Linked DNA regions of Lonchura striata. Each later gene encodes a partner of the first gene's protein in a complex. Links are inferred from orthologs where the notes say so. Each region holds a gene or a part of one and is shown in the gene's direction. Other genes may lie near its edges. The genes, in order: BCCIP, TENT5C and TENT5A.

Region 1 (7,372 bases):
AGCACATGGCAACAAAATGTGAATGCTAAATGACTATTTGGACTTCTGTTTAATCCACAAATACAGCAAAATGATAATAATAACTAAAACTCCACAACACATTCAGCAAATCTGGATGTACAAATCCTAAAGGATAAAAAATAGATACACCAAATTTTTTACTGTCTTGTTTTAACCAGAACAGCACAGGACATTGAGTTTTCTTCTGGGACTACTGAGGGTGAAAAAAAAAAAAAAGGACAAACTACAACAGCAAAAATAAAATCAGATGTAAAAAGAAGGATTTATTGCTTTTGAGAGGAACTCAAACAGGAACTACAGACTCATTTTTATTATTAAAATACTTATTTTCCAAAAGTCCTAATCAAGATTAGGGATGGAATTTAGAGATTACTTTTGACCTAAAATCTTCACAGATTGCCCTCTGCTGCTGCAAATGCTACAATCAGCTGAGGGTCTCAGTGCATTTACTGCTTGCTCAAGGGTGTAACCTTACTCACAGGACACTGATTTGTCCACAGCCCAAAAATGGAGCAGATAAAGTAGAAACTCCATGCCAGAATCACCCAACATGAGAATTTGGAAGAGTTTACAAGGATTTGACATTTCCTTGTGATGGGTATTTCTATTTAGCAGGATTCTTCCTCACTCCTCATCTCTTGGCTTTGATGCATCACCACTTCTTTATAATTTTTTAGCTAATAATTAATTTACTTGAGAAATTTATTGTTCAAGACAGAGAACTCTCTTTTTCTGCAACGTTTCATAGGAATTGCACAGGCACAGAAGTGATGGCCAGCTTTTATGAGATGATCTCTTTAAGGGAGGAAAGGAGTCAGCAAGCAAACCAGGCACTGCAGGAGAATATTCCTTCTGCATGAGAGAAGCAGAGCTGGCAAAGCTCTCACTAATTAGTAATTTGCACCAAAAGCTCCTTCCCTTCATTTTTAAGTCTAGAAAACACAACCCTTAAAAGCTCAATGTAGCATGAGCCCCTTGTGATGCCAAAAAAGCTATGAAATTCAGTTTTTTTACAAAAATCATGCTCCAAATATATACTGGTGGGTGAAATAAAATTCATTAAAATCCAAACTTCACAAGATGCTGGAAGAAAAAGACCAAGGAGTATCAATATGTACTCACCTTCTTTTTTACTCTTCTCTTTTAAACATATCTTGATGGCTTCTAATGCTCTTGGGCTGGTAAAAACTAGGCCTCCATAGCACTCTGGATGGGAAAGCTATTTAGAAACAGTAAATTTAAGAAGTAAAAAGAAAAAAAAATACAAATTAATTTTAAAAATCAGTTGATCTATTATTTATAACCTTGTGACAAACAGAACAGCTGCCTGAAATGCCCCAACACTTGTGACAACTCACAACTTAAATGTGAATTCTGTCTGAACAATTTAATTCTTTAACAAGCAAGGGCAAGGTCCTTGATGCTGTACATGAAATTTTACTGTACAAAGCTGGTTTGTGGCAACACAAAAAGAGAATGATTCAATGGGATCTTGGCAACCAAATCCTGCTGGAAATAAGACAACTAAAAAAATTTCAAACTTACCTTCTCAAATAAGCTGTCAAGAGAGGTGAAGTCAAATGACAAAACTGGGATCAATGTTGCTTCCAAGCTGTATGATCCCAATTCCTATCAAGAAAAGGTTTGCAGCTCTTGAAATAAAACTCCAAACAGCATTTTTGTTTTTTCAAAGAGCTGACTAAGTCAGCACAAGCTTTTCTCTTTGCTAAAGCAAAATAAAAAGGTATTTTATTTCCTTTCTTTGGTAAATCTAGTTTGGATTTGTTTATTATTTAATATTCCAATATTTTACTAAACAAACAGCTGTGGGACTGTGACCTTCTGAAGTACAGGAGACACCAGCACATAACTCTGAAATCCCCAGGTGTCCACCCAGTCCTGCAAATACCCCTGTACACTTCTGTAATTCTGCCAATAGGTTTCTACTAAAGAAATAATCCTCCTTTATTAGGAATTCTTACTCTTATGAGTGAGATTTACTCACATGAGCAAGGGCAGTAGCAGAAGGGACCCCAGCAACAGGTAACCTCTATTTCACATCACACTCCCAGTAAAAATACAACAAATTTCTGTAATCCTCATTCTGTCCATATGAACACAATCAATATTAATGAATTCAAATGAAGCTGGTTTAATACCAGTACTTTGCTGAAAGCTTTACAATGAATTCAGTACAAATGTCCCATAATTAATACAATTTTTATGCAGGAAGGGTTATTTTTTAAGATACTTTTTCTCTCAGTATAACTTCAGATATGCACTCCTAATTTTGATTAAGCCCCTTGAAACAGTTGGATTCACATTTAATAAGAAGGAAGTGACACATTTTTTTAGTTTTCTTTACATTTACTCACTTTAATATATGGATCTGGTCCTGAATCTTTGTCTTTGGGATCCTTCAGCAGCAGAACCTTCATTGTTCACCAAGGAAGCACAGCAGAACCCTGAAATACAAGAATGGAATTTATCTTAATTAGATCTAGAGGACTTTTTGACTGGAATAGCAACTTGAACAGCTCCAAGAACTGGGTTGCTACGACTTGTACTGCTCCTTACACAGTGAGTAAGCAGTTATTGTGCATTCTCCAGGCAGGAACACCCAGCCTGATAAGGGCAGAAAATAATATGCTGCCTTTAGATAACACTGCTCAAGGAAGAGGCCCTAATGAAACTCATCAAGGGGAACACATTTTAAAGAATATTTTTTAAAAGCAGTAACAGGCCCTACAATGCAACCACATTCTGCAATTGAATCAGCTCCTATCTACAAAAATATTAGTTATTCTATTAATTTCCATGCCAGATTGCACTAGTTTGTTGTTATGCAAAGGTATTGATTTTATTTAATATATGTGTGTCTATATGCACGCGTTTATACATCTATAATAATATAGATAATATTAATATGCATTCTCTGATAGTCTAGGAAACAAGGTGGGACTGAAAACATCTATTCTGCCATAAAAATGGAAGATGATACTTCTCAGTTCCCTACAAGCTTTGATGCTAAACTCAAAGTTATACAACAGAAACAAATACACAAATAATACAAACAGAAATCCACTCTCTAAGTGCATATTTACCCCAATTACCAGTGTGGTATTTTCCTGACAGGTCACACACATAGGAAAATTCATTTTCCTCTAAATTCTTTCCCTGGCTAACAGTATTCAAATTTTGGCAATGACCTAATTGCTCTCAGAGCAAGCACAGCTTTGAAAAACAAAAGAAAAAGCAAAAAACAGAAAAAAAAAAAAATCACAAAAAACTCCCCCCCAAAAAACCCCCACTGATGTGTTTGATGCTTTAAAGGGAACATGAAAATCTGAGCCTACTTGAAGCATATTTGTAAAGCTGGAATTATATCCCAAGGTTCCGGGCTTGCATTTCTTCTGGCTGGCAACAGTGAGTGCCCAATGCTCTTCCTTCCATGGCCTCATTAACATCTCATTCTTCATTAATTAGACACAAAGCGTTAAATGGAACACGTTCCATATAACAGAGGCTTGATCACTAATGAGGATTTTTCCAGTGCTTAGGACATTTCAACGCTTTTTCCCGACTGGCGTTTTTATAAAAACCAGGATCACGTTGTGCTTACGGTGCTCTCCCCATCACCCTCCCCTCTGGAATTACCAGGAATTTGGTCCAGGGGAAGCCGGGTCACAATTTTTAGGGCGTAGCAGCCTGATTCCTGTTTTAATTGGCAATTTTTACTAACGCCAGTTTTTACTTACAGCAATTTTTGCTAATGTCGGGGATGCTCAGCACACTCTGTTCCCTTTAGAGCACAGAATCCCAGGATGCCCGAGGCTGGAAAAGCCCTGGAGGACCATCGGGGCCCGATCCCCGCCGAGCGCCACGTCCAGGCTTTCCCGCAGGGATGGGGACCGCAAAGCGCCCCGGGCAGCCCGACCGCACCGCCGGGAGCCGCTTCCATGCAGGAATTCCCGTTGGGAGGAAGTGACAGCGCGGCCAAGGAGGAAATCCGGGTCAGCGCGGCCGGGGCGGTGCGGGACGCGCCTCCCCTCAGCCCCGCGGCTCCCCTCAGCCCCGGGCCTGCCCTCGGCTCCCCTCAGCCCCGGGCCTGCCCTCCGTCCCGCGCCTCCCCTCAGCCCCGCGGCCCCGCGGCTCCCCTCAGCCCCGGGCCTGCCCTCGGCTCCCCTCAGCCCCGCGGCTCCCCTCGGCTCCCCGCAGCCCCGCGCCTCCCCTCGGCCCCGGGCCTGCCCTCGGCCCCTCCGCGCTCGCCCGCGCTGCCCCTGCCGCGACATTCGGCGACATCGGGGACATCCCGCGGCCGCACCGCGCCATGGCCACGCCGGCCAAGCGCCGGGCGCGGGGCCCCGCCGGGGAGCAGAGCTCCCAGAGCGGCTCCGAGAGCGGCTCCGAGAGCGGCTCCGAGAGCTCCCGGAGCGGCTCCGAGCGCTCGGCGGGCTCCGACTCGGAGGAGCCCCCGGCTGAGGTGAGCGGGACGGGCTCCGCACGGCGGGACCGACCGCGGCTCGGGGAGGGACTGTCGGGGGCGTTCGGGATGGGTTTGGGAAGGGATCGTTGTCCAGGGATGTTCGGGAAGGGACTGTCAGGGCGTGTTCGGGATGGGTTCGGGAAGGGATTGGGATGGGATTATCAGGGCATGTTCAGGAAGGGAGTGCCAGGGGATATTCGGGGTGGGTTTGGGAAGGGATTATTGTCCAGGGATGTTAGGAAAGGGATGATTTCAGGGGATGTTCGGGAAGGGATTGTTGTCAGGGGATGTTCGGGAAGGGATTGGGAAGGGATTGTTGTCCAGGGATGTTCGGGAAGGGTTTGGGAAGGGATTGGGATGGGATTATCAGGGGATGTTCAGGAAGGGAGTGCCAGGGGATGTTCGGGATGGGTTTGGGAAGGGATTATTGTCCAGGGATGTTCAGGAAGGGATGATTGTCAGGGGGTGTTTGGAAAGGGATTGGGAAGGGATTGTTGTCCAGGGATGTTCGGGAAGGGTATTGGGAAGGTTCTGGCAGGGGATGTTCAGGAAGGGACTGTCAGGGGGTGTTCGGGATGGATTTGGGAAGGGATTATTGTCCAGGGATGTTCGGGAAGGGCTTGGGAAGGGATTGTTGTCAGGGGATGTTCGGGAAGGGTATTGGGAAGGTTCTGGCAGGGGATGTTCAGGAAGGGACTGGCAGGGGATGCTCGGGATGGGTTTGGGAAGTGATTGGGATGGGATTATCAGGGAATGTTCGGGAAGGGATTGTTGTCAGGGGATGTTCAGGAAGGGACTGTCAGGGGATGTTCGGGATGATCTTGGGAAGGGATTATTGTCCAGGGGATGTTCGGGATGGGTTTGGGAAGGGATTGTTGTCAGGGGATGCTCGGGAGGGATTTGGGAAGGGACTGGCAGGGGATATTTGGGAAGGGATTGTTGTCAGGGGATGTTCAGGAAGGGATTGTCAGGGGACGTTCAGGATGGGTTTGGGAAGGGATTACTGTCCAGGGGATGTTAGGGATGGGTTTGTGGCTACAACAGCTGTAATTGTGTGAACCAGATGGCAGGTGAAGGCATTTAAGGTTTGTTCATGACACAATTGATGGGTCAGTTTTGAAAAGTTGCTTTCACAGATGTTCTCTAAAGGTCACAGGAGAAATTATAACAATTGCTGAGATTGCTGCAAGGTGGAAATAAATTCTGTTTCTGCTGTTTGCCATTACTTGTCTTCAAGTTCCTGACAGTTTAGCTTTGTTCTGATATAGCTTCTTGACAGGTGTGTGTGCTATTCTCTGTTTTATCCACAGGAAGTGAATATTGAATTTGAAGCGCATTCCATATCAGACAATGACTATAATGGGATAAAGAAGTTACTGCAGCAGGTACTGTACCTACTTGTCAGCTTGGTTGATATGTCCATTGATAAATGATATCTAAGGAGTTGTGCAAAGGCATCAGTTCACATTCTCTGTATTGATTTACAGCTTTTATATATTACTTTCCTTCCTTTTATTAGCTAATCCCAGAATAGTTTGGGAGAGAAGGGACCTTAAAGCCCATCCAGTGCCATCCCCTGCCATGGCCAGGGACACTTTCCACTATCCCAGATTGCTCCAAGCTCCATCCAGCCTGCCCTTGAACACTTCCAGAGATGGAATAGCCGCAGTTTTCAGATCATGCCAAACTCCAGAGGGTACCAGTATGGAAATATCAGCATGTGGAAGGTACAGGAGCAAGCACCTCCAGCAGCTGATTGTTAGTTTTTGCAGTATTATCATGAAGGAAGATAAATAAAAATCTCACTTTATTTTCTGCTAAGTGGTCCGTGAGATACCCTCAGTGCCTGATAGACTTGTTTAATAGTTGTTAAATACGTGTTTTTTATACTTGTTTCAAATACTTTAATACTTGTTTTCTGTCTCCCAGTTGTTTCTAAAAGCTCCCGTTAACACTGCTGAATTAACTGATATATTAATACAACAGAACCATATTGGGAGTATTATCAAGGTAAGACAAATACTATATTTGTAACTGAAGTACAATTTGTTGAAATTACATGATTTCTGTATTTCAGAAGGGGATCCTGTCTGTGTTGTGTGCTTTCTTGATTTTTCTGCTTTAAGAATAATTTTTCTATGGGAACAGAGATTTTCCATGCTTACTTTCAGGCAAAGAATGAATTTGATATATTGTAATTGCTGGTTTCTTTTTACATATGGAAAGCTTTTCCCTCCCTGAATTTCAGTGTAGTAATGCTGAAAATGCAAAGGAGGGGTTTGTTGCCATCTCCATAAGAAACAGGAGCTTGTGACTTTCCTACAAAGACACAGCTCTTTGTCTCCCTCCCTGCCAAAGCTTTGTTGCTCTGTGGTTGTCAAGACATTCCAGGCTTACTTCCCTACATTAGAAACTGAAGCAAATTGGTTTTTTTTAAGATATTGCCATCCCCTGAGCCAAGATGTTGCTTATTAAATGTGAGCTATCAACCTTTAGTGCCTTCCAGAGGACTCTGCTGTAGAAGATGCATGAGCTGGCCCTCTCCAAAGCTGGCTTTGAGCACACTGAGATGTTCAGTGATGCAGCAGAAATTGCAGTGTGTGTTTGTACAGATTTCCTCAATGGTTTTCATCTGCTGGTATCACCTGGAAAGAAAAACATCTTTTGCTACAGAGTGGAAATAGAATGTCAGTATGAGTTGTTGCTTTTCCTTTCATTCAACAGCAAGCAGAAGTGCAGGAAGACAGTTCTGATGATGAAGATGATGAGGATGAAGTGTTTGGTTTTATAAGCTGCTTGAACTTAACAGAAAGGAAGGTTGGTATTCCTCAGTAAAATCTGGTTATAAATATTAGCATCAGTAAT
Region 2 (6,205 bases), on another chromosome or scaffold:
TTTCCTTACAAGTGGTTGTGCTTCTTTCGTTTGTGCTACCACTTCTCTTTGAGTTCCCTACTTCTCTTTCTAATTTTAGAAACATAGGGGAAAAGTGTTGAGAGACCTCTGGATCCTCATGATCAGCTCCATACCAGCACAGGCAATCATATACTTATTTTCTTTTCTAGCTGCATCTTTAACCTAGTTTTATTCCCTTCCCTCCTGCAAGGCTCTGAAATCTCACGATTTATCTCATTGGACAACAAGATGGTAACTTGCCTCAAATCTGATTCTTGTGCCAGTTATCCTTTAATTTAAATAGGTAATTATTAATTAAATAGGTAATTTAATTTAAATAGGTAATTTTGTTTCCTGTTATTTATCCCAGTGGGCAATATTGGAGCAAAATAAATAATTATCTAACCCATCCCTATTCCTGTTCAGCTTTGGCTTTTTTGGTGAAACGAGGCAGGTCTGTTGTATTTGCTAGGCAAAAAGGAGCTTTCCCATTTCCTCATTCAAGGCCAGCTCCTCTCCATATATGTGCAGGTTTTAATTCATCTTTCTTGACTGTGTATGGCCAAACAGTATAACAGATGTAGTGGTGATTTTTTTTTTCCGTTGTTTTGTAAGTACTTTTTTTACTTCTGCTAGGATTATGTTCTGGCCTGTTCTAAGTTGTGTTGATTCCCCCCGCCCCGTTTCTATTGAGATCTGATTATCGTAACAAAAGGCAGATACCCCTGTATTGGATGAAACATTATGTTCTCAGCAGAAATTGTAACTTTTGCCCCCAGAATGATCTCGCACCCTGTGCTATTAACCACCAGCTGATTTTTATGACACTGCATCTCCAAATTGATTCCTGTCCAGCCATTCCATCATCCTTGTCTATGTGCGCAGAGCCTCCCACAGCCCATCAGCCGCAGTTTCCGGTAGCACACTGTTTCAGCACTGCTCCAACATCCTTGTGAGCCCATCCTTGCAGGTTCTGGATGAGTGCCTGGTTTGGCTGTTTCCAGTTAGGCACCACAGAGAACTCTTTGGCAGAGTTGGACGTCTGGGATCTCTGCTAACAGCTCTTCTGTCTGGGATAAGGTGCCTTCAGGAAAGCCCTGTTGTATTTCAGTCAGCCCACAGATTCACAGAACCAATTAGGTTGGAAAAGGCCTCTGAAGTCATCAAGTCCAACCTATGACCAAACACTACCATGTTGACTAGATAATGGAACTGAGTCTCATATCCAGTCTTCCTTTAAACAACTCCAGAAATGGTGACTCCATCATCTCCCTGGGCAATCCATTCCAATGTCTAATCTCCATTTCAGTGAAAAATTTCTTCCTAATGTCCAACCTGAACCTGCCACAGCTTAGGACTGTGTCATCTGTCACTGTTGCTTGGAAGAAGGGACTGATCACCACCCATCTACATCCTCCTTTCAGGCAGTTGTAGAGAGCAATAAGGTCTCCCCTGACCGTCCTTTTCTCCAGACTGAACAACCCCAGCTCATTCAGCCTTTCATCGTGGGACTTGTGCTCAGATCCTTCACCAACAACGTTGCTCTTTGGAGGCTCTCCAGCCCCGCAGTGTCCTTCCTGAAGGGAGGGGCCCTTTGAAAAGTTTGTATTTATCTACAGACTTTATACACAAGTATGCACTGACGTGGGGCTGGGCAGCTGGGCGCTGTGCGCGGAGCTCGCGGGGCTCCAGCGCTCGGGCGGCCGCCCCCGGCCGCTCCCGGCCCGGGCGCCGCGGCGCTCCCCGGGCGCGGCGCCGGCGGCCGGACCGCGGCCAGAGCCGCCCCCGCCGGCCGGGCGGGGCGGGCGGGCCGGGCCGGGCGGGGCGGGGCGGCCCTGCAGGGCCATAAAGGGCGGTCGCGGGCAGCGGCGGGGCCGGCGTGCTTGCTCGGGGCGAGCGGCGGGGCCGAGGTGAGCGGCGGGGCCGGGGCTCCTCTCCCCTCTGCGGGGCGGGCTCTCCCGGGAGCAGGAGCTCGGCAGCGCTCCTGTCGTGGATGCGGGTGTTGGAGGCGGAGGGAGCCGCAGCTCCCGTCCCCAGCGCCGCTGGGCTCCGCGGGACAGGCCCGGGGAATTTTTGGGTGTTGTGTTAAATTATATGTCTTATAGGAGAAAGTTGCTGCTGCAGGGTAACGCACCCCGTCGTGACCAAGGTGAAGGTGTGTAGTCCTCGCTCTTTTTTTGCTTCTGGTTTGAGTGATGTATTCAATGCTCTTTATGCTCGGTATTAAAGATATTTAGTGTTTCCTGCCTCCGTAGTGGTTTTCTTCCTAAGGACTGAGTATCTTCAGGTGTCCGATCTTGTGGAGGGAGTGGCTGGCAGTGAAGCAGGAGGCATGGGAGCTGTTAGCATCCCAAAATCACTGGAGTCGCTAGGAATCTGTTGTCACTAACATAAACCTTGCCGAGTAGGCAAACACTAGTGATTTGAGGGTGGGAGGTTTTGGAGGTTGATAGCCTGAGACTTAAATCCTCCACTGAACTGGAAACGAAGTACTTTGTCTTCTGCCCGCCAAGGGCAGCAATGTGCATTACCCTCCTAGGTGAGGGTCACCAAACAGAGCCAGGTGTGTATGGTGTGGTTGAAAGCGCTGGTCCAGGTCCTTTCTGGTCACTGGGTGAGATGCGTGTGTTTCTTGGCTGCAGAGAGGACTACAAATCTGAAGAAGGAGAGGGAATAGTTTTAGAGGCAGTAGCTGAAAGCATTTGCAGCTTCAGTTAGAAGTTGTGGGAAGACTCTTATGTTCTTTAGTGATCTGAGAGATTTAATAGAAATATAGTGAGTTCACTAAGGAAACATACTTTAATGTGCTCTCAGTTGCCTGAGAGCAACTGCTGGCAGGTTTGATGTGTTTGTGTTTATGCTGTGTTGGAGTATTAAAGATGAAGCTCAAAGAACCACTTGATTTGTCCTAGATTAATCATCTTGCAAATCAGAGGTTTGTTTCATACCTGCTGGTGCTGATGTGATCCATGGCAGAACAGTTTGTAATGCAGCAGCTCCTGCTTGAGGACAGAAGCTTCTTCCCTAGAGGGATTCTAACCTCACTGTTTACTTGCTCTGGGATTTGACTCTCTTCATCCAAAGAGGTGGCAGGTCGAATGAGTTGCTCAAAAATGAAAAGCTGAAAAAAGGGGATGTCTGAGATGACAATAGTTGTTCTTTGAAACTTGCTTTAATATGTTCCATGCACTGTGCTATTGCATGCCAGGAAACTATAGGGCTTGGTTTTTCCTTCTTGGTAGGCAAGAGTTAATTTTCTTAAGTTTGACTAGTCTGACCTTGGCAGCTGCAGTCTTCAGGAGTATTTGGGGCAGAAGAAGGTGAAGCCTCAATTAGTCTGTAGCTGTCAGGAAGCACCTGGCTACGCAGAAACCTGGAACACTTAAAAAAAGAAAAGGGTTTTAACACCAGTTTGAGTTGCATGACTGTAGAACATCTGTAAGTATCTCCATGCTACAATAGGCAAGTGACTTAAGGAATCTTGTCACAGCTAATCAGATCATTCTCTTGTGCTTAAAGTGTTTAGACAAGGCTGTGACCAAGTCTGGTTAGTGAGATTCTAGATGTTAAAAGAGAAACATGAACTTCTTATGCCTCATCTGAATTTATCGCAAATCTTACAGGCTTGTTTGCCCTTCATAAATGAGCAGACCTTGGGACAAGTATGAACATTTCCAGAAAGGTAGTTGGTTAGGCAGTGTCTCTGTAAGCAGCTCTTTACCCTTCTTCAAAGACTGGAGTGCCTATTGAATGCTGTTACCCGAGTTTGCAGCTGAAATTCTGTCCAGGATGTTCAAGAGCTGCAGCTTTTTGCAGGAGCAACTTGTACTTGGCCTTTATCCTGTGAGTGATAGATGCTGGATCATTTAGAAAGGAAAGTGTTCTATGTAAAGGAAGAAATCTTGTATCTTTGACATAATTTAAGAGTTATCAGTGGACTGGATGTCTAAGCTCTGAAACTAACACCTGAGGGTGTTCTGCAGTTGTGTTAGTTGGAAACAGCAGTTTGAGCTTTATATGCATCATGAAACAACTTCAGAGCTTAACTCTCTGAAGTGCTTTGCAGCTCATCTCACTTCTGCTGGTGCTGCTGAGGACTTTAGCCTTAGTTTGTGTCATCTTTGGTAATTTCCATTTGGCACAAACTACTTTCCTGAACTAACTCTACCTCACCAAAAAAAAAAACAAACCCAAAGGCAACCCATTTTTTTTTTTTTTGCCTGCACCAATAGTAAAGCTGTGTCTCATTTCAGAAGAAAGGATTGCTGGTAGTCATTAATACATAGAGTTATTTCTGTCTAGTTTGTGTCTGTGCGAGTGAACAGAAAAACAGAGCCTAGGAGTAGATCTAGGAAGCACAAAAAGAAACTCTGACTTGTCTTTTTCTTTTTATATTCTACCTCCATACAGTTTCTTTGGAGAAGAAAAGCCCAAAGATGGCATGCAAAGGAAGTAGCAGAGCAGACTCCATGTCCTGCAGTGTCTTGAACTGGGAGCAGGTCAGCCGCCTGCACGAGGTTCTTACAGAGGTGGTTCCCATCCACGGGCGGGGGAACTTCCCGACGCTGCAGATAACTCTGAAGGACATTGTTCAGACGGTCCGGAGCCGGCTGAGCGAAGCAGGCATTGTGGTCCACGATGTCCGTCTGAATGGGTCTGCAGCTGGTCACGTCCTGGTCAAGGATAATGGGCTGGGATGCAAAGACCTGGATCTCATTTTTCAAGTTTCTCTTCCAAGTGAGGCAGAGTTTCAGTTAGTTCGAGACGTGGTCTTGCGTTCCCTCTTGAATTTCCTGCCGGAAGGAGTAAGCAAGCTGAAGATCAGTTCTGTAACACTGAAGGAAGCCTACATCCAGAAGCTGGTCAAAGTGTACACAGAGACTGACCGCTGGAGCTTGATATCACTTTCCAACAAGCATGGCAAAAATGTGGAGCTTAAGTTTGTAGACTGCATACGGCGGCAATTTGAGTTTAGTGTAGACTCGTTCCAGATCATTCTGGACTCCCTGCTCTTTTACTATGACTACTCGGAAACCCCCATGTCGGAGCACTTCCACCCAACTGTGATTGGGGAGAGCATGTACGGAGACTTTGAAGCAGCTTTTGATCACCTCCAGAACAAGCTGATAGCTACCAAAAATCCTGAAGAGATCAGAGGTGGTGGGCTGCTGAAGTACAGTAACCTCTTAGTACGAGACTTCCGGCCCATGGATAAGCGCGAGATCAAAACGCTGGAGCGCTACATGTGCTCCCGATTCTTCATTGACTTCCCAGACATCCTGGATCAGCAGCGCAAGCTGGAGACCTACCTGCAGAACCACTTCTCCAAAGAGGAGAGGAGCAAGTACGACTACCTCATGATTCTGCGCAGGGTGGTGAATGAGAGCACCGTCTGCCTCATGGGGCACGAGCGAAGGCAGACTCTCAATTTGATTTCTCTGCTGGCACTCAAGGTGCTGGCAGAACAGAATGTCATCCCTAATGTCACTAATGTGACCTGTTATTACCAGCCAGCACCTTATGTCAGCGATGCAAACTTCAGCAACTACTACCTTGCTGGTGCCCCTGTGCTGTACAGCCAATCCTACCCCACTTGGTTGCCTTGCAATTGATCGCTTCCCTCGAGTGCTCCTGGCTGGAGGCTACTGAAAGCCACAAGTGTAATTATAGACAAGTAATAAGTGTCAGTTGGATGTTCTCTAATGGAAACTTGACTGTATCAGACTGTCCATTTCCTGGTGTGCAGTGGGATTATGCAGCCAGGTGACCTGCTATGAATCTTTGAGTATCTCTACAAATGCCAAAAAGCCTTATTACCTCTTCATCGGGAGGAGAGAACCAGCAGCCAAATGTTAAGAGGAGCAGTTAAGAAACTTTGTACTAGCTCTGGAAGTGGCTGTTAACATGGGATCTAAGTGGAGTATTCAGTAAACTGGGTTGGTTAATTGACTGTAAAATGCCTTAAGCAGAAACTGCTCTTGGAGTAGCAGCAAAACACTGCTTTCTATTTCCTAACCTCATTATTCTTCCTCAGTCCAAGTTCTGGCCAAATTTCTCTTGAACTAATTGTGCCAAGACTGGGCTCATGTTATTCTTGGGTTGCTTTCACTTTGTGTCTTTGTAAAGCTGGTAACAGTGTGAATACTGTCTGTCTTGTAGAGGACATAAATGTTGTTTCCTGTAGTGCCTATGGCTATGTGGTCCT
Region 3 (7,346 bases), on another chromosome or scaffold:
GATGGAGCCAGCAGCTGCTCAGGGCACCTGCCAGCAGCTGCACATGGAGTGATGAGGAGGGAGGGAAAAGGGTACAGCAGCCTGCATTCTCCAGAAATTTGGTATCTGGAGCTGAGTTGATACATTCACGTGCTATCTGGGTGGAGAACAACTATTAATATTCTTCAGTCCTATAGCTGCTGTTTCCAGTGAGATAATTGTGTAGCAACACAATGAATAACATAAAGAACTTTTCCGGTGATTTCTGCCCAGCAATGTCTCTCCATCTCAAGAGAGGGCAAAATTTAGGTCAAGATCTCATTTGTAGTGTTTTAGTTGCCGTTGGCCTCTGTAGGAGATAGGGCAAGCCAGCTGTGCTGAGGCACTTGTGAGCAGAGACAGAAAGAGCTGCTGTGCCAGGCCTGGGTGGGAAGCTGCAGCGCTGCTGTATCCCTGTGCAGCTGCCAGCATTCCCACTGCAGCCAGGGCTGCGAGGGGCCCCAGGGCTCCCCTTGCACAGCCTGTTCATCCACACTTGACACACTGCACATTCACACACCTGGAAACTGCTGCTCTCCATGTCCGTCTTGCTACAGACTGCTGCTTTTTTATTATTCTGAACATCTATTTGCATTTTTAACACTGTCAAAAGGACATAGGGAAAATCATCATGATGGTATCTGCTGTTTGTCTCTCCAATATGAATAACTGCTCTTAATAGAAGGATTAGAAAAAATAAAAGAAAGGAAGAATGACATTACCAAACTTTTCATGACACAATTGTGATAAAATTGTGTTGTATCTTTTTTTTCTGAACTCCTTCTGAGGCTGTTTTTTGGATTTCCTAGACTTTTTTCATGTCAAACCAATCCAGGCTGCTGCTTTTAATGCATAATAATGATAGCAGAAGTGATGTTTTTCATTTTTTGAATAAAAAACAAACAAGCTCTGTCTGAATCAACACTAGTTTTTGAACTGAAGTAGTGTTTCTGCTCAGAAGTGAATCCCCTGACTGTCTGTAAGTAACACATGTTGGCAGAGCAGCAGTCACACAAACTCAGCTCCCGTATGAAAAAACTAAACTGGAAGTTTTGCCCCTGCTGGGCACCAAATGGGAGCCAATTCATAGACTAGGCATAGACGAAGACTCACACTTTCTGGCTCTTTTTTTTTTTTTTTTTCTGCCAGAAAGAGCATGTTCCTGTTTTAGGCACCAAGTCTTGGGCAGAAGGGAGGCAGAACATTACAGTCACAGTTGATGTAGTTCAGTCAATAAATTACTTAAATTCCTAAATTCAGCAGAGCTCACCTGGAGAGTACACTCTGCTACATGGCCAAGCTGAATGAAGAGCTCACTCTGAGGACTTTATTAGGCAAATATACACAAATGCATACACGAGAAACACATTTATTGCTATTAATTTTAATTTGTTCTAGAGCAGGACTGAGAGTATGGTTGAGAATGAAGGGACTAATTGAAAAATATTGTGCGAACATACAGAAAGACATGATTCACATCACACAGCCTGCGTTTCTGCTAATTCCTTGGGCAGCACAAACAACCTGAGTGAGTAATACAATCAAAATTCTGTCAAAGAATTACTGCTCACATTGACAATTTAAAAACCCCCACCTTTTCCTTCCAAAAGTAAGTTTGTCATTAAAGTACAGAGTATGTTCATGAGCTGAATAAATGTTTTTATTAGCACCAGCATTACCAGTATCAGTCATAATTAGAATAATTGCTATAACTCAGACAAATATTTCTCAATTTCTCATGATGTAATTCACTCTAATTCAATTTCTTGCTACCGTTCTTAATGATTTCTACTGATTTAAAGTGACATAGGCTTTCACATTCAAGTAGGCAGAGGAGCAAAAAATTCAAAATATATATACCCGAGGTAAAGTACTGCACTGATGGAGTTCTATTTCTCTTCTGTTTACACAGTTTATTAAAAAAAAAAAAAAAAAATATATATATATATATATATATATATATATATATATATATATATATATATAAAATACCCTTTATCTGGTGTCCATTAATTAGGGGAAGAGAAGCAAAATGAATTGCACATCAGTGCAAATAATTCCTAATCTTTACAAAGAGTGTAATGATTACCATTCTTTGCACATTTCTGAACTGAAAAAACATAAATGATTCTAACTGGAAATTATTTCCTCTCTTCTTTCAGGTGAGTGGGAGGTGATTTGCAGGTGCTTACACCGAGAAAGGGAGGTTGAGGTGAGGACAGGGCTTGGCTAGCCCTTTTCCTTTAGCAAAACCCAGCAGTGTAAAGGTCTTCCTTCTGAAATGCATTGACCTTGCCTTTAATAAATCAGTGTTCTCCACTATGAACTTTTGTCCATTTTTCAAGTGGGCAAGTGATAGCTACTTTAAAGAGGTCAAAAGTCACACTTCATGGGGAAATGAAACAAGATCCACATAAAATAACATTGAATCCTACTGACCAGTATTCAAAATACTGTTAAAATGTCATTGCAACATGCTGAGAAACACAAGTTAAATGAAATGCTGGTTACTCCCAGACAGGAAATTGTCTCAGTTTCTTGGAGCTGGCCTTGCTTAATATTGGATGAGCCTCCAAGTCCGATCTTTGTCCTTGCTCTAGAAATCAGTAATCCAGTTATTAATGATAATTTGCTTATAAATAAGGTGGTAGTTACCCCTTTTGAAAGATTAAATCATGTGCTCTAGTGAACTGTGGTTCACCTGAGTAATGCCAGTCTGGGAACGGGGTTATATTTTAACCTCTCCAAGCTTCCTAACTGCACAGGGAGGCGGTGACACCTCTGTGCTGCAGGCAGGCAATCCCCGTGGTGGGACCCCTTGATGTGAGCCCCTGCCCTCGGCTGTCACCGCCCTGCAGTGCCTGTCCGTGTCCTCTCGGGATGCATGGTCAGTGTGAGGAGATGCTGTTCCTGCACCAGGGGAGAGTGGGGCTCCCTGTGCCCAGCGGCAGTAGCCAGGGACCCGGGTTCCCTCAACAGGCTCCCCTGCCAGCAGGCCGCTTAGTCTGAATATTTATTTTATATAAAGGTATAAGCTGGCAAACCCTGCTCAATATGCTGGCAGACGTACAACGTTCTGCTTCTGCTGTTAAGCCCTTGTACACGTTCGTATTTTAAAAGCTTTCCACTTTCTTTTTTTTTTTTTTTTTTCTTCCTGTAACACAATGGCACCGAGCAATGCAAACGCTTTTATGGCCACCTGAGCGGCACGGGGAGGGGGCAGCGGTGCCGCATGACGGGCACAGGGTGGAGTCAGCCCCGCTCCGCCGTGAGGAGCCGGCTCGCGCTGCCGGAGCCGTCGGGAATGTGGGCGGTGGATCAAAGCCCGCGCCGCCCCGCCCCGCGGCAGCCGGCAGGGGGCGCGCTTGCCCCGCGCTGCGCCGCCGGGAGCGCCCCGACGGGGCGGGCGCAGCGCGGCGGGACCCCCGCCCGGCGTGTGGGGTGGGATGGGGGGAGCCGGGCTGGGGGCTTCCCAAGCAGCCCCACACCTCTGACCTCATCCCGGGGCGGGAGAAGATGGGGGTGCGTGCTAAAAATGGGGTGAGGGGACAGTAAACCCCGTCGGGCTGTGTCGCCCACCCCTCATTTTCAGCGAAGTGCTCGGTTGAGGGAGCTGCGCGTCACGAAGTCGCGCACCCCCATTAGCCCCTCCTGCTGCGCGTCACAAAGCTGCGGGCGGTGACGCAACACCGTCCATGCCCCCCCCCCCCCCCCCCGTGTCCCCCAGCACTGCATCCTTCCGCGCAACCCGCTGTCTACACCGCGCTGGCGTGCGCGGGGTGCGCACTGGGGCGGTGACGGCCCCGGGTGCTGCAGCGTGCATCGGGTGTGTGCGCTTAGTCTGTTCTAAACAGTATGTTTGTGTATGTTTTAAATAGGATCTGTTTTCAAATAGTATCGATATATATAAATATCGATATGTGTTTAAAATAATAACTATATGTATGCGTATGTACGTAACAGGTGAAAAGCAGATGCATTCATCGTTATTTTAAAAAAAATGCAAATAAAATATATGGGCATGTTTATATAATATGCTTGTTTTCCATATCATTTTTACGGCTCCGCGGTTACTCAAGTTGTACTCTATAGGCAGGATGCTCCTCTGGAAGGCACCGGCTCCTCCGTGATGTTCGAGATGTCTTTTTTCTCCCCTCGCCGGCGGGGAGGACGGGCGGACAAGGGGGAAGGGGCCGGGCCGGGGCCGGGCAGGCACGGCGTGATGCCGCTGCGCTGCCGCCGGCGGCTCTGGAAATCTCGGTCAGGAGCCGAGCAGCGAGAACCACACGGCCCGGGATCCTCGGCATCTGCTTGGAGAGGGGCTCTTGCCAAATTCCGTCGCTCTGGTATGAAGTTTGGCTGAGCCTGGGATGACCGGGAATGTCGGGGGGGCGGGCGGGGGGTAAAAAGGCAGAGTTAAAAAAAGACGGGGAATGAATGGCTGCGCGGAATGAAGGGCGCCCCTGGGCGCGCATCTAGGCACAGCAGGAGCGGGAGGGGCCGCGCCCCGTTCGGGGCAGGGAGCGCCGCTGCACTTGTTGCCTCCCCGGAGCCGTGCGGGCGGCCGCGCCGCGCCGCGCGGGTCTCCCAGCCCGGGGCGGCCGCGCCGGGCGCTCCGCCGGCGCGGAGGGGCGGGCGGGAGGGCGGCCCGCGGGCGCGCGGGGTGTGGGCGGGCCGGGGGCACCGCCGAGGCCGGCCATGCAGATGGAGGGGGCGGGACGCGGGCGCCGTGACTCGGAGCCCCGGAAGCGAGGAGAAGCCCCGTATAAAAACTACTGGGGACCTTTCCCGGCCAGAACTACGAAAGCTCCGGAGACGGCGGCAGCCTGCGGCGGCAGCGAGCGGGGCGGCCTCTTGGGCGGTGCGGGGCGGCCTCTCCGTGGGCGCGGGGCGGCCTCTGCCCCGGCGGGAGCGCGGAGAGCGGTGCAAGCAGCGGCGCTGCAGGTCGGGCACCTTCCCTTATCCTGCAGCACCGCCTGGCTCCGGGGGGCTTTTTCTCCCCACACCCCCCATTGTATTTATCTATTTTTTAAAATCTAATCAGTAGGTGTGTCCTCCTGCTTCCCCACTGAAAGGGACGGCCACAGGGGAACGGAGCTCGGGCGCCGGGTGCGCGCAGCTGCTGACCGCTGGCTTTTCCTCTTTTGCCAGGCGCGGAGAGAGAGAGGCCCCGGGGGGCCGGCGGGGAGCCGGAGCGGTGCCTGGATCCAGCCCGCGGAGGCGGCGGCCGCTCACCATGGCAGACGATGAGAAGGCCGGCGGGAGTTCCGCGGACGGCGGCGAGAGCGCGCACTGCAACGTGCTGAGCTGGGAGCAAGTGCAGCGTCTGGACCGCATCCTCAGCGAAACCATCCCCATCCACGGCCGCGGTAACTTCCCCACGCTGGCCATGCAGCCTCGCCAGATCGTCAAGGTGGTGCGGAGCCGGCTGGAAGAGAAGGGCATCGGCCTGCGGGACGTGCGGCTGAACGGCTCGGCAGCCAGCCACGTCCTCCACCAGGACAGCGGCCTGGGCTACAAGGACTTGGACCTCATCTTCTGCGCCGACCTCAAAGGAGAAGCCGAATTTCAGACTGTGAAGGACGTGGTCTTGGATTGCCTCTTGGATTTCTTACCCGAGGGGGTGAATAAGGAGAAGATCACGCCTCTCACACTCAAGGTAAACCTGCCCTCTGCCCAGCCGCCCGGAGCGGGCAGGTGTGAGTGCCTGCCCGCGGGGAGCGGGCGCCTTCCCCTGGGATGGAGTGGTGCGCTCCGGGACGCAGCTCCCCCCCACACCTCCGCGACCCATGGGAACCCCGAGCGATTTATTCACCCCACGCTTAAAACCGAGGAGGAGCTTACAGTGAAGCGCCCTGACCGGGGCTCTTCAGGATTAATTAGCTTTTTCTCCCTCCCGGTTGATTTGCTGGGAGCGTTGTTTTACCTGGGGCGTGTGCCAGGCGCTGCACGCCTCTCCCAGTCCGGTTCGGCAGCAGCTCGGTATGCCGGTCCCGGATCCCGGGTGCACGGGGAGCGTAGATGGATTTAACATCTGCAAGAAGGAAACCCCGTCTGCAAGGCATGCTTCCAGCTGTGCTAAGTGCCCCAGCGGGGAGGCATATTCCCTCCTCTAGAAGACACTTTGCTTGAGTTCATTAGGCTGAATCCAGATATTTTCAGATTTTTAGAGGGATTAATTTTTTTAATGTGGGACCGATTTATGGAACCTGCACTGGTAGGATTGAGGGGAATGAACATTTGTTAACTTGTTCTTTGGGAAGTAGAGAGAGAAGTGAAAACCAATAAATAAGATTTCTTTTTAGATCGTAGTAGTGACCTTCTGCATATGGGTGCAGGCATATTTGGCAGATGTACCATGGACTTAGTCTGTAGATGTATTTAGAAGCTACTGAACAAAGTAGTGTTGCTGTATGCTTCCCTTGCACGTCACAGTCCCTGCAGAACACCCTCCCCTGTTATACCCTTGCAGTTACAGCATTTTGAGCTCTCACATTAAACACTTACTCTGTGGTTTGTATCTGCAGACTCCATGAAATCTTTTATGAAATGCAGATATGGGGCGGGGGGGGCTTGGAAGGGGTTAGCAAATGAAGTAAAGGAGAAATTTCTTGGATCTTTGTCTTGATTTGCTCATTTTGTCTTTCTCATTATAGGAGGCTTATGTGCAGAAAATGGTAAAAGTATGCAATGATTCAGACCGATGGAGTCTTATCTCCCTGTCCAACAACAGTGGCAAAAATGTGGAGCTGAAATTTGTGGACTCTCTGAGGCGGCAGTTTGAATTCAGTGTCGATTCCTTTCAAATCAAGCTGGACTCCCTGCTGCTTTTTTATGAGTGCTCAGAGAATCCGATGACTGAAACTTTTCACCCAACTATCATTGGTGAGAGCGTTTATGGGGATTTCCAGGAAGCCTTTGATCACCTCTGCAACAAGATAATTGCCACCAGAAACCCAGAAGAAATCAGAGGAGGTGGTCTTCTGAAGTACTGCAACCTTTTGGTAAGGGGCTTTAGGGCAGCCTCTGAATCTGAGATTAAATCCCTGCAGAGATACATGTGTTCGAGGTTTTTCATTGACTTCTCAGACATTGGCGAACAGCAGAGAAAGCTGGAGTCCTACTTGCAGAACCACTTTGTGGGATTAGAAGACCGCAAGTATGACTATCTCATGACCCTTCACGGTGTGGTGAATGAGAGCACAGTGTGCCTGATGGGACATGAGAGGAGACAGACTCTGAATCTGATCACCATGCTGGCCATCCGGGTCCTAGCCGAGCAAAATATCATCCCCAACGTGGCCAATGTCACCTGCTATTACCAGCCA

What was found.
Region 2: the proteins of BCCIP (region 1) and TENT5C are in contact, whole or in part, in a cryo-EM structure (PDB 8EQB), measured with the Homo sapiens proteins. The link is inferred for Lonchura striata from reciprocal best matches to the Homo sapiens genes BCCIP and TENT5C. Residues at the interface, in NP_510868.1 of Homo sapiens: Val57, Asn58, Ile59, Glu60, Phe61, Glu62, Ala63, Tyr64, Ser65, Arg136, Gln146, Cys153, Lys155, Ala204, Gly205; in NP_060179.2 of Homo sapiens: Asp90, Asp92, Glu102, Gln106, Arg109, Lys135, Glu136, Val139, Gln140, Lys141, Leu142, Val143, Lys144, Val145, Cys146, Thr147, Asn164.
Region 3: the proteins of BCCIP (region 1) and TENT5A are in contact, whole or in part, in a crystal structure (PDB 8EXE), measured with the Homo sapiens proteins. The link is inferred for Lonchura striata from reciprocal best matches to the Homo sapiens genes BCCIP and TENT5A. Residues at the interface, in NP_510868.1 of Homo sapiens: Val57, Asn58, Ile59, Glu60, Phe61, Glu62, Ala63, Tyr64, Ser65, Leu66, Gln146, Val149, Leu150, Phe152, Cys153, Glu154, Lys155, Asn156, Cys157, Glu158, Lys159, Glu163, Lys167, Leu203, Ala204, Ala206, Thr225; in NP_060103.2 of Homo sapiens: Arg87, Gly88, Asp139, Glu151, Gln155, Lys158, Lys184, Glu185, Val188, Gln189, Lys190, Met191, Val192, Lys193, Val194, Cys195, Asn196, Asp199, Trp201, Asn213, Arg289, Lys295, Glu331, Arg334, Gln341, Asn342, His343.

Annotation. Positions count from the first base shown.
Region 1 is NC_134609.1:29,725,031-29,732,402, forward strand, and holds the start of BCCIP (BRCA2 and CDKN1A-interacting protein), read left to right. Parts: upstream 1-4,276; 5' UTR 4,277-4,351; coding exon 4,352-4,504; intron 4,505-5,817; coding exon 5,818-5,892; intron 5,893-6,436; coding exon 6,437-6,517; intron 6,518-7,231; coding exon 7,232-7,324; intron 7,325-7,372. Other genes in the region: UROS (uroporphyrinogen-III synthase), read right to left, coding at 1,144-1,240, 1,567-1,650, 2,397-2,459. UniProt on the Homo sapiens protein: During interphase, required for microtubule organizing and anchoring activities. During mitosis, required for the organization and stabilization of the spindle pole.
Region 2 is NC_134604.1:28,335,115-28,341,319, forward strand, and holds TENT5C (terminal nucleotidyltransferase 5C), read left to right. Parts: upstream 1-4,436; coding exon 4,437-5,612; downstream 5,613-6,205. UniProt on the Homo sapiens protein: Catalyzes the transfer of one adenosine molecule from an ATP to an mRNA poly(A) tail bearing a 3'-OH terminal group and enhances mRNA stability and gene expression.
Region 3 is NC_134605.1:80,878,728-80,886,073, forward strand, and holds the start of TENT5A (terminal nucleotidyltransferase 5A), read left to right. Parts: upstream 1-4,282; 5' UTR 4,283-4,364; intron 4,365-4,696; exon of another isoform or gene 4,697-4,962; intron 4,963-5,169; 5' UTR 5,170-5,254; coding exon 5,255-5,677; intron 5,678-6,674; coding exon 6,675-7,346.